Drosophila melanogaster: one gene and its partner. The protein of the gene in region 1 purifies or fractionates together with the protein of each later gene. This does not show direct contact. Each region holds a gene or a part of one and is shown on either strand. Other genes may lie near its edges.

Evidence for each region.
Region 2: the proteins of CG3909 (region 1) and hyx purify together in Drosophila melanogaster (affinity purification with mass spectrometry, with the first as the bait; one large-scale study listed by BioGRID). This does not show direct contact.

What each region holds. Positions count from the first base shown.
Region 1 is NT_033777.3:10,041,536-10,045,419, forward strand, and holds CG3909 (uncharacterized protein), read left to right. Parts: upstream 1-1,734; 5' UTR 1,735-1,811; coding exon 1,812-1,814; intron 1,815-1,867; coding exon 1,868-2,159; intron 2,160-2,230; coding exon 2,231-2,469; intron 2,470-2,526; coding exon 2,527-2,714; intron 2,715-2,768; coding exon 2,769-3,042; 3' UTR 3,043-3,071; downstream 3,072-3,884. Other genes in the region: CG11722 (uncharacterized protein), read right to left, coding at 3,092-3,219, 3,278-3,524, 3,591-3,682, 3,736-3,880.
Region 2 is NT_033777.3:9,036,896-9,043,119, forward strand, and holds hyx (hyrax), read left to right. Parts: upstream 1-1,864; 5' UTR 1,865-2,027; intron 2,028-2,259; coding exon of another isoform or gene 2,260-2,284; exon of another isoform or gene 2,285-2,576; intron 2,577-2,775; 5' UTR 2,776-3,066; coding exon 3,067-3,197; intron 3,198-3,272; coding exon 3,273-4,416; intron 4,417-4,575; coding exon 4,576-4,738; intron 4,739-4,805; coding exon 4,806-4,947; intron 4,948-5,009; coding exon 5,010-5,046; 3' UTR 5,047-5,454; downstream 5,455-6,224. Other genes in the region: Nmdmc (NAD-dependent methylenetetrahydrofolate dehydrogenase), read right to left, coding at 5,762-5,889, 5,957-6,224.

The DNA of each region.
Region 1 (3,884 bases):
TTGAGCACCTCTTAAGGGCAAACATTTATTCTTATCCTCCAGTCACATTAGTGCGAAGGCTAAGAGCAACCGTGATGGGTTTGCTTTGGAATTACGAATGGAAGTGGAGCAAAGCTGTGGGATTTAGAGTCATTTAACTTTACGGATCTTTAAGCGTCACTACTACTACCTAACTACCTTTCTTTCTATAGGACCATTTCATACCCTAGAAGACATCGTTTGCCTGTAGTATTGTTAAAATAAACGAATAACTAACTTTCATATACCAAATCTCAAGTAAAGAATGTTTTATGAAATGAATACACCTCTCTTAAGATATATGAATCCCAACATGTGTGAGAAAATTAACATAAAATACCGATAAGATTACATAAACATGCAAATCTTCCACTTCATCTTATAATATAGCATTATTGATCCCCGGCTGGCGACTCACCTTGATAATTTACAAATTCAGTTGGAACTGTTTGATTTATTCGAAAGGGTTTGCATATATCATTTTGAAAACGGCAAATTGCGATTATAATCGAAACAAAAGTGAGCAGAGGAAGAGAAGAAGAATAAGAGGAATGGCGATATTAGGGAGATAAAGTTGCACGCGAAAACCGGTTGCCGTTATTGTTTACACCAAATCGGAAACGAAGTTGTGGGGGCAGGCGCGAATATGAATGTTGTACGGAGGGGAAGAAGTGGAAACTGGGCGGAAAACGGAGAACGGGGAACGGGAAAGTGGGAATCAATAAAACAAACACACCACGAAAAACACATGGAAAGTGCAGCAAAACTATATGCCTTTCATTTCGGTTTAGTGCACAAATCGGCGAGTCCTGCTGCCACAAGAATGAATCATTCGAATCTTTTCGATTTTGTCGAAAGATATGATATGTGAGATAAATAATATGCTGATGCACAACCACACACACACTCGCACTCACGCTCACGCACACCCGCCCCCACACACACGAACGAACGAGGCTTCACTGTTTATGTTTATTAATATATTCCAGACACGCGGATCCATAGAAGAAAATCATACATATTCGAATTCACGGCGGCGACGACAGCAAAATGAAAAAAAATCGAAAACGAACCGAAAACTGAAAAGCAGAACACACGCGTTGGTCCTATTCGTTCCTTTGTTTTTGATATCGTATCGCGAGGGGCTAAGAACTATAACTATATCCGCATTATATAACCGCACTGGTAGATCCGGGCATGGCTGCACCGTGGGGCACGTAATTGCACCCGTCACTTACACTTTTCCTCGCCAGTCGCTTGGATCTCGCGTCCGAGTCGTTTGGGGATTTGTTTTTTAAAACGCGACGTTCGTTCCTCGGTTCTCGACGGCTATAAACAGTGTGGCCGCGCCGGGAGTGCAACTATAAGCCGATGGTGTGACCATGGCGGGAAAGTGGTATTATGCCGTGTGCCATATGGGCAAATATACCAAAACAATAAATAGCAATTCAAATAATTTAATATATAACATGTTTACTTAAAAACTAAGCTTTTTACCTAAATAAGTATAATAAAGATATAATAAAGTAAAATATTATTTTGTTATATATAATATTACCTGTGAAAAAATTTTAAAAACGTCAATTTGTTTTATACTTCTTTATTTCTTTCATTTATATAAAGAATTCCATGTTTAATTTATTCACATTGAAACATATTCAGCATAACAGTTTTGACCCACTGTAAACCTCCCTTTTCAATACTAATTCTAACGTCAACCATTGTTATCGATAACAGCTAATTTGCTGATCGCTCTCGTTCGCATAAAATAAACACTTTTCCGGCATTTTAAAATGGTAAGTAGATATTTAACGAACTGTGCCTTTTATACATCCCTTTTTTCCGCTAGTTTTCTGTCCTTCATAAAGAGGAAAATGCGCACGACAGTCAGCTATGGGCGTGCACCTGGGGACGCGACACTGCGGCCTCAGATCCGGATGACGCGGTCGTGGAGCCCGAGGAGAATCCCTTTGATTTCGATAAGAAGGAGGCCCGCCCGAAGGATTTCTTGGTCACCGGCGGACTGGATGACTTGGTAAAGGTGTGGGACTTGCAGGAGGACAACACCCTAAAGTTGCGCCACAAACTAAAAGGACATGCCCTGGGAGTTGTTTCTGTGGCCGTCAGTTCCGATGGACAGAGTAGGTTGAAAGATTCTGTACTTGGGAGATAGAGAAATGGACATCAATTAATGGTGCCGCCTTCCTTCCAGCCATTGCCAGTAGTTCTCTGGACTCCACCATGTGTTTGTGGGATGCCCGTTCGGGCGACAAGAAACACCTACTTAGCTTTGGGCCTGTTGATCTCTGGACGGTGCAATTTTCACCCTGCAACAAATATGTGATATCCGGACTGAACGACGGCAAAATCTCCATGTACAGTGTGGAAACCGGAAAGGCAGAGCAGACATTGGATGCCCAAAATGGGAAATACACGCTTAGCATTGCCTACGTAAGCTTTATCTGGTAAATAACCCATTTTGAGAATCCTATAGCTGTATTATTCTAGAGTCCCGATGGCAAGTACATTGCCAGTGGAGCCATCGATGGTATCATTACCATTTTCGATGTGGCCGCGGGCAAGGTAGTGCAAACATTGGAAGGACACGCGATGCCAGTGCGTAGCCTTTGCTTTTCTCCGAACTCGCAGCTGCTGCTCACTGCCTCAGATGATGGTCACATGAAGCTTTATGATGTGTAAGTGGCTTAACACCTATGACATTTTCAGGCACTACTATCTCCTCGTTTTAGAACCCACTCCGACGTTGTGGGCACCCTATCTGGGCACGCATCTTGGGTGCTGTGCGTGGCATTCTCCGAGGACGGCAAACACTTTGCCAGCTCCTCCAGTGATAACAGCGTGAAAATATGGGACACCTCGGAACGCAAGTGCCTGCACACGTTCGCCGAGCACACAGATCAGGTGTGGGGCGTCCGATATAGCCCCGGAAACGACAAGGTGGCCTCTGCTTCTGAGGACAAGTCCCTGAACATATACTACTGTCCGCCCAATGCCATTGTTTGATTTCATACAATAGAGCGTAGGTTTAAAACAAAGAACAAGAATGATTTATTTACGGATTACCCTCCGAGCTCGATTTAACCCGCAGAAGGGGCTGCGTGGCTTGAGTTAGCATCGTGTCTTTGTACTTCTGGTCGGGTATGTACATATTAAAAGTTTTAAAGTAGTGCAGTATGTTTTCTAAAAAGGGAAAAGTTAGACTGAGGTATTCTGAGAACACATTTTCTTTTAGGTTTACCAACTAGAGGCTCCTTAAGCTTGTACTCATTGGCTATCTTCTTGGCTGGCCAGGATTCAGGATCCAACTGGTGGTCATTGATGAACTTAAGCGCCTGGCGCAGTGTGCAATGACCGGGGCTAATGCGGTTGGGCTCCAGATATCCGTACTCAAAATCATCCGGCGTTTTGCGTTCCAGGGGCAGTGGTCGCTGTTCCACATTGTCCGCCGCCGCCTCAGCTGCCTGGCGCTCCTGCACTCGCTTGATCTAGGGAACATATAGCAGGTTCCATATTAGTATTGGTCGAAAGTACCTTCTAAGGTATTAACCCACAAATCGATCCTGCGAGGTTACATAAACGTCTTTCAATCGTCCGTCCAAGCTGGAGTCTTTCATATTGAGCTTGTCCACGAACTTGGGATCCACTGTAATGGGGAAAATGAAGCATTACACTCCAAGGGTGTTTAATTTTACTTACATTCCAAGGTGCGCTCCATGTCTCTCAAATTCGAGTCAAATTTGGGCGCCGGCGTTGGCTTCTCGCGCTCGAGGACGCGATGTGCACGATTCTCGACATTGAAGCGATTGGCCCGGCGGGCAACCATTGAAACCACCTGACCCATGCCA
Region 2 (6,224 bases), 1.0 Mb from region 1:
ATTTATTTAATGAAAAAAGACGAAGTGCAAGAAAATAAACGAAAAGATACAAGAAATTGGCAGCTGTCGATGGGAAGACAGCTGAGAATTCCCCGGCTCTTCACATCGATCGCCGATAGCCGATCAATATACACATAATTAAGTAAAAACTGTAGCAAATGCCAATGTTTAATTAGAAAACACATATGCAAACGGGTCATGGGGAAAAGGCAGTGCTGTTCGAAGGAAAAGAAAAGGGAAAGGACTTCAGACAGGCCAAGGAAAATGAAGGAGCCGTTTGAGGAGCAGTTGTCGTGTTTCATATATATGTACATACATATGTATAAATACCCGAACTAATCCTGCGGACACAAAAGGGAATTCAGGAGAACAGAACCCAAAATTGCGCAAGCACTTGAGAAACAGAGCAATAGTGGAGGAGGTATTCCCATATGTATTCCCAGTCTGCAAGGATCGAGGGTATAGTGAATGTTTGTACATATTATATTGTGGAGAACAGAGTTTGAGGATATGGTTAAAATTACACGTTGACAACTATTCTAAGATACTACTAATAGAATTCTAATACTTCTTTGCAGACAAGATAGTATTATACATCTTCTACATAGCTTTAAAGAAGAAGGTCTTTGTAGATCTTAAAGATTCCCATACCGAGGGTTGCTTGCCGTCCATATACTCTCTTCAAAAAACCTGACTTATTCAGAGGAACTCCTCCATATTTTGAGGATACCTGCGACAGCAGTTGGCTTCATCCCGAAACTCCGATCAAGATCTAACAAAAGGGAACTAGAATGCATCCCATTTGCCAACTGCAACTTAAACTTCCACATCCACTTCCCATTTCCGCATCCTCGCGTGCGTACGCTAATCAAATATCAACATCGCCGAGGAATAACCGCCAATGCAACACATGCGGGGGAAACTGCGTTCCGTTAGAGAAATATACGTTCTGTTGGCCAAATGTTTGCCTTTTCAGGGGGTTTCGGCTTTCACGGTTTTCATATTGCAGTTTTTTCCCGCCCGTAAAATGGAAAACCTCCCTTGTCCCATGAAAAATGCGAGATCTGCGCTTGGAAGATATCTTTTCGGTTACTCCGATGCAAACAGGACATTTGGCAAGTCATAGAAAGAAGTTCCTGGCGGGTTTCCAGCCCACAGCATGTGTCTTTGTCTCAGGGTCAGGGAGTTACAACTCGGTGATCCTACCTGAACCGAGCGCCTATTGGGGTTTACTTATTCTCTCCTCCGCCTTTGTGCGATCCTTCGTCCTTCGTCTTGTGCCCGTTTTGTGAGAAATCATTGCCATAAACTCTATAATTTATTGTCCACAGCTGCATGGGCATCTTGGGTCTAATCGAAGCTGATACGATTCGATGGAGTCCCTGATGATGTGGATGTGTTAAGCAGGTAAGTGCAGTTCTGCAATCCCCGTAAAATACACCTGTAAGGATACGATGTCCATTGCGCCAAGCTTCGCGTCCTACAATCAGACTTATTTTCCTGAGCTGATTTTATGTCGGGATTTGTAGAAATCTTCTTTTTTAAATTTTTACCACCTTATTTTTTTTGACTTTTCGGTAGCCTAAGCTGCTTACTACTTTGATATCTCTATAGGCGGGCTCGGAATAATTGTTTAAGTGTACTTGCATGGGTTATACATCTTTTGCTTTTATGGTCAGTTCTTTGGGGATGACCTCTAATAAATAAAGTTTAATTTATTATCACAACGTTACACCAGTTTCTAAACGTTTAAACGTTTGTTTTGGTCTTTTTATTTCATATGGATAGAATGTGAATGGAAAAGCTTCAAAATCACACGAGCTTTTAAAATATTTTCAAGGAACCTAATAGGAAATATTTTGAAATCACAGATATCATATATTAGGTTTTAAATCCCAACAGAAATAATGTTATAGTTAAAATCAGGTTTTACACCTGTAAGATTAAAATCAAGTAACAAAAACTATCGACACTAACGCGAAACCAGCGAGTGTCATCGCTAAGGGGGATCAGCTGTTTGCCAACATGTGAGTGTGTGGGTGGTGGGAAGGTCACAAACCTATTGGAATGCCCATAGTTTTTTAATTCATATTCAAGCGGGGCTTATAACTGTAATACACTTTACTATAACTTTAGGATTCCATTTTAAATAGAAACTTTACCAACTTATGGCGATTCGGCTTATTTGTTGTAAGGTGACAGACAAGCTAAATCCTCCTTACGCGACATCCCATGTTAAATCAAGCCTTGTTTACTTACCTATTTTACCAGCCGACTGACCCATTGCTTAATTAAAATCACAAATTGCGTGTTTCGCTTCCCGAAAGGCACAAGAAACAACAGCCACAACAACTAGGACACACACAGCTTCTTTGGCATTGAATTTTCACGTAGACCAGCCCTCGCATAAGCTCGATATTATGTGCACCGTGAGCCGATCGTGTGCTATTGGCAGGCTAGCTCACTTCCGGAATCATAGGCGTTAAATGCGATGCATTTTAAAGCTTTGCCTAATTGTTATTTGGATGGAGCTGCCGGTCGCAAGGCTTTTTTTTAGTGTGACCGCGTTAGTATTTAAACATGACAGTCCAGCTTTGCCATCTGCCACACAAGAATATACCATACAATATTTATAAATAAACAAATCACTAGACGCGCTAGAAAAGTCATTTACTTCGTTTATTAATGATGCCAATTCCTGAAGATGTGAAGTGTTCTAAAGAGTTGTCGTTGTATAACGTGCCATTAAGAAAACTAATTGTTAACAAATCACAGGATACGAAAAGCCGTGACTTAGTGCGATATTTTTTAAAGACGAAACTTCAGCGATTTATACCAAATGAGAAGCGATGCACTCTCTATGATATTTGGTATTTTTCACCCCGCCTACGGTCACACTCCACGCAACCTCTGGCAAAAAACTAAAAATATGCCATAAAAAGCGAGAATCGAAGTTGTTTATATATCTTTCGCGGATTACAAAGTGCGTAGCCGCCGCGCGCCTTCCAGAGCGACACCGACCACACACGCCCGCCGCCCGAAAACACACAGAAAACCGGCAGAAAAATGGCAGATCCGCTCAGCCTGCTTCGGCAGTACAACATAAACAAAAAGGAGATTGTCGAGCGAGACAGCCAGATTATCTTCGGCGAGTTCTCCTGGCCGAAGAGCGTGAAGACCAACTATCTCAAATATGGGTAAGTGCGGTCAGGACGACCTGTGGGACAACTAGGATTAGCCACTAACTCTTACACTTTTCTCCCGTCGATTAGATCCGGTAAGAAGGGCGCTCCACGTGAGTACTACACGCTGGAGTGCCTGCTGTACCTGCTCAAGAATGTGATGCTGCAACACTCGGTCTACGTGCGACAGTGCGCCGCCGAGGATATACCCGCTGTGAATCGGCCGGATCGTAAAGAGCTCCTGGCCTATCTGAATGGCGAGACGCCAACGTGTGCCAGCATCGACAAGAGTGCCCCGCTGGAAATCCCCACTCAGGTGAAGCGTGCCGCCGAGGGTGAACCTTCCAGCGTTGAGGTGGCTGCCAAGAAGGCCCGCTTCGAGGAGACTCAAGTGCAGAAGGTGCGCGAGCAATTGGCCGCCCGATGGGATGTCAACCAGAAGGAGACCGCTGTCAACATGGACAACATCAAGTCGCTGTCCGAGACGATGTCCGTTGAGAAGATCGCCGCCATCAAGGCAAAGCGTCTGGCCAACAAGCGAACGACCATTAAAAGGACGGACAATGACGAGGCCATGGGAACTGATTTGCGTGCCATCCTGGACTATGATGTGGACTCCACAAAGGACATTATCAGCAGAGAACGGCAGTGGCGCACGCGAACTTCGATTCTGCAAAGCACGGGCAAGATCTTTGCCAAGAACATCTTTGCTATGCTTCAGGGCATCAAGGCGCGCGAGGAGGGACGCAATCGTCCACAGGTGCCCAATCCCATTAAGATGCCGGAGCCGGCTCGAATAGCCAAACCACAACCGCAGCTCTCGCAATACAACCGTTACGACCAGGAGCGCTTCAATCGGCAAAAGGAGGAGACCGAGGGCTTTAAGATCGACACGCTCGGCACATACCACGGTATGTCGCTGAAATCCGTGACGGAGGGCTCACTGGCTCAGCGTAAGGCGCAGGCTAACAACCTACCGGGAGCACCGGGTGTAATAGCGGGAGCAGCCGCCGGGCGGCCCAAGGAATTGCTACCTGCGGCCCAAGCTCGGCAACTGCCCGCCAATGGTCCATCGAAGCGAACATCTCGCACCCCCATTATTATCATACCGTCTGCCAACACAAGCCTCATTACCATGCTCAACGCGAAGGATATCCTGCAGGAACTGCGCTTCATGTCCACCTCGGATAAAAAGCTGCAGGGCTGCCAGCGCGAATGCGAAGTGCTGTTACAGGTGCGATTTAATGTAACGAATTCTCTTCCAAATGGTTTATATACCAAAAGGTTTTACAGCATTTGTTTCCGAAGATGTATTCAATTTCCTATTAAAATATTAAAGATAAGAGTTGGCATACACCAGTGCTAATTTATTTTCCCTTTTATTCACACATAGCGAAAACGCAACAATCAGACTGTGTCTTACCGGGTGATAGATAATCCCACCAAGCTCTCGCAACAGGAGTGGCAACGGGTGGTGGCCGTCTTCGTTATGGGACCCCAGTGGCAGTTCAAGGGCTGGCCTTGGGAAGGCAATCCCGTCGATATATTCTCAAAAAGTTAGTTAACATCATGCCCAGCTCTCTAAGTTTAATTCACTAAGTCTCATTTTCTTACCTACTGCAGTTTGCGCTTTTCATTTGTGCTTTAGCGAAATGAAATTGGACTCAAACGTGGAGCGCTGGTCAGTGACGCTACTCCGACTATCGCAAAACAAGCGTCATATGGATCGGGCAGTGCTCAGCAAATTTTGGGAAACTTTGGACAAGTAAGTGCTTATATAAAAATCCACCATTTCGTTACAAAAGATTTACAATGCAATCTTTTTAGATATATAGCCAAGTACAAGCCCGATTTACGATATTAACCCTCACCGCATTCTTAAACGTTCTGCTGAAACACGACACCTGCTGTTTTCAATCCCACTCCCAAGTAGTTACCATTATTATAGACAGGCTGTACTACATTATGCAACAAACGACGCAAATAGTATGTTACAGTGTGCGCCCAACTTCCGTAGGAAAGACACCAAGCCGAATCTGGGGCATTTGGCCAGTTCCAGTGCGAGTTTCCGATTAGAGCCCGACCAGGATTATCTCGCTTTTGGCAACAGCATTATAAGTCGCAGGCCTGCGATCGTGCAAATAGGCCCAAATACGCAGTTAGTAGTTAAGATAAAGTTTTTCGTTCAAATTGTACAATGTAAACTACAAAACACAAACATCTGAGAGCAAGTATCCTTTGTATTTTTAGTGATAATAAACAGTTAAAAGCCATTCTGTTTCGGTTATTCAAACAGAAGGTAACATAATTGGAATTTATTTGGCTGTCATCAAGTATATTTTCTCAATTATTTAACCTTTTCAAAGATCATATATTGGAACTTTTTCATACCTCCCATCGTTAAAGTCATAAATCAAACGAAATAGTAGTATTTCATTATTTCTGTTTATATAGCAAAATATGTGGGTTTATGTCATGTTAGCTTGTGGTCAGTAACTTTACTATCTAATATAGGTTTAGGGGATTAAATAAAAATACTATTTCTCGGCCAGCGAAGCACGATAGTTACTGGTGAATCTTCAGGAGGACTTGCGATCATCGAACTGCTTCCTGGCTGCCTTCAGCGTGTTGTGCATCAGCATGGCCACCGTCATGGGACCAACTCCGCCGGGCACAGGAGTGATGTGGCCGGCGACCTGGCGAACTTCTGCAAAGTGATGAGGAAATGAATCAATCTTGTTGGTCTTTAGTGATTTAATAGATCAGCCACACACCTTCAAAGTCCACGTCTCCGACCAGCTTAAACTGGCCAGTGCTCTCATCCTTGATGCGGTTGATGCCCACGTCGATGACACAGGCTCCGGGCTTAACCATGTCCTTGGTGATCAAACCCGGCTTTCCCACTGCGACCACAATGATATCCGCTTGGCGGCAATGGCGAGCCAGTTCCTTGGGCGGTGTATACCTGTGGCAGATGGTCACCGTGGCATCCATTGCCTTGGTGGCATACTTGCCATCCGCGTGCAGCAAGATTGCCATCGG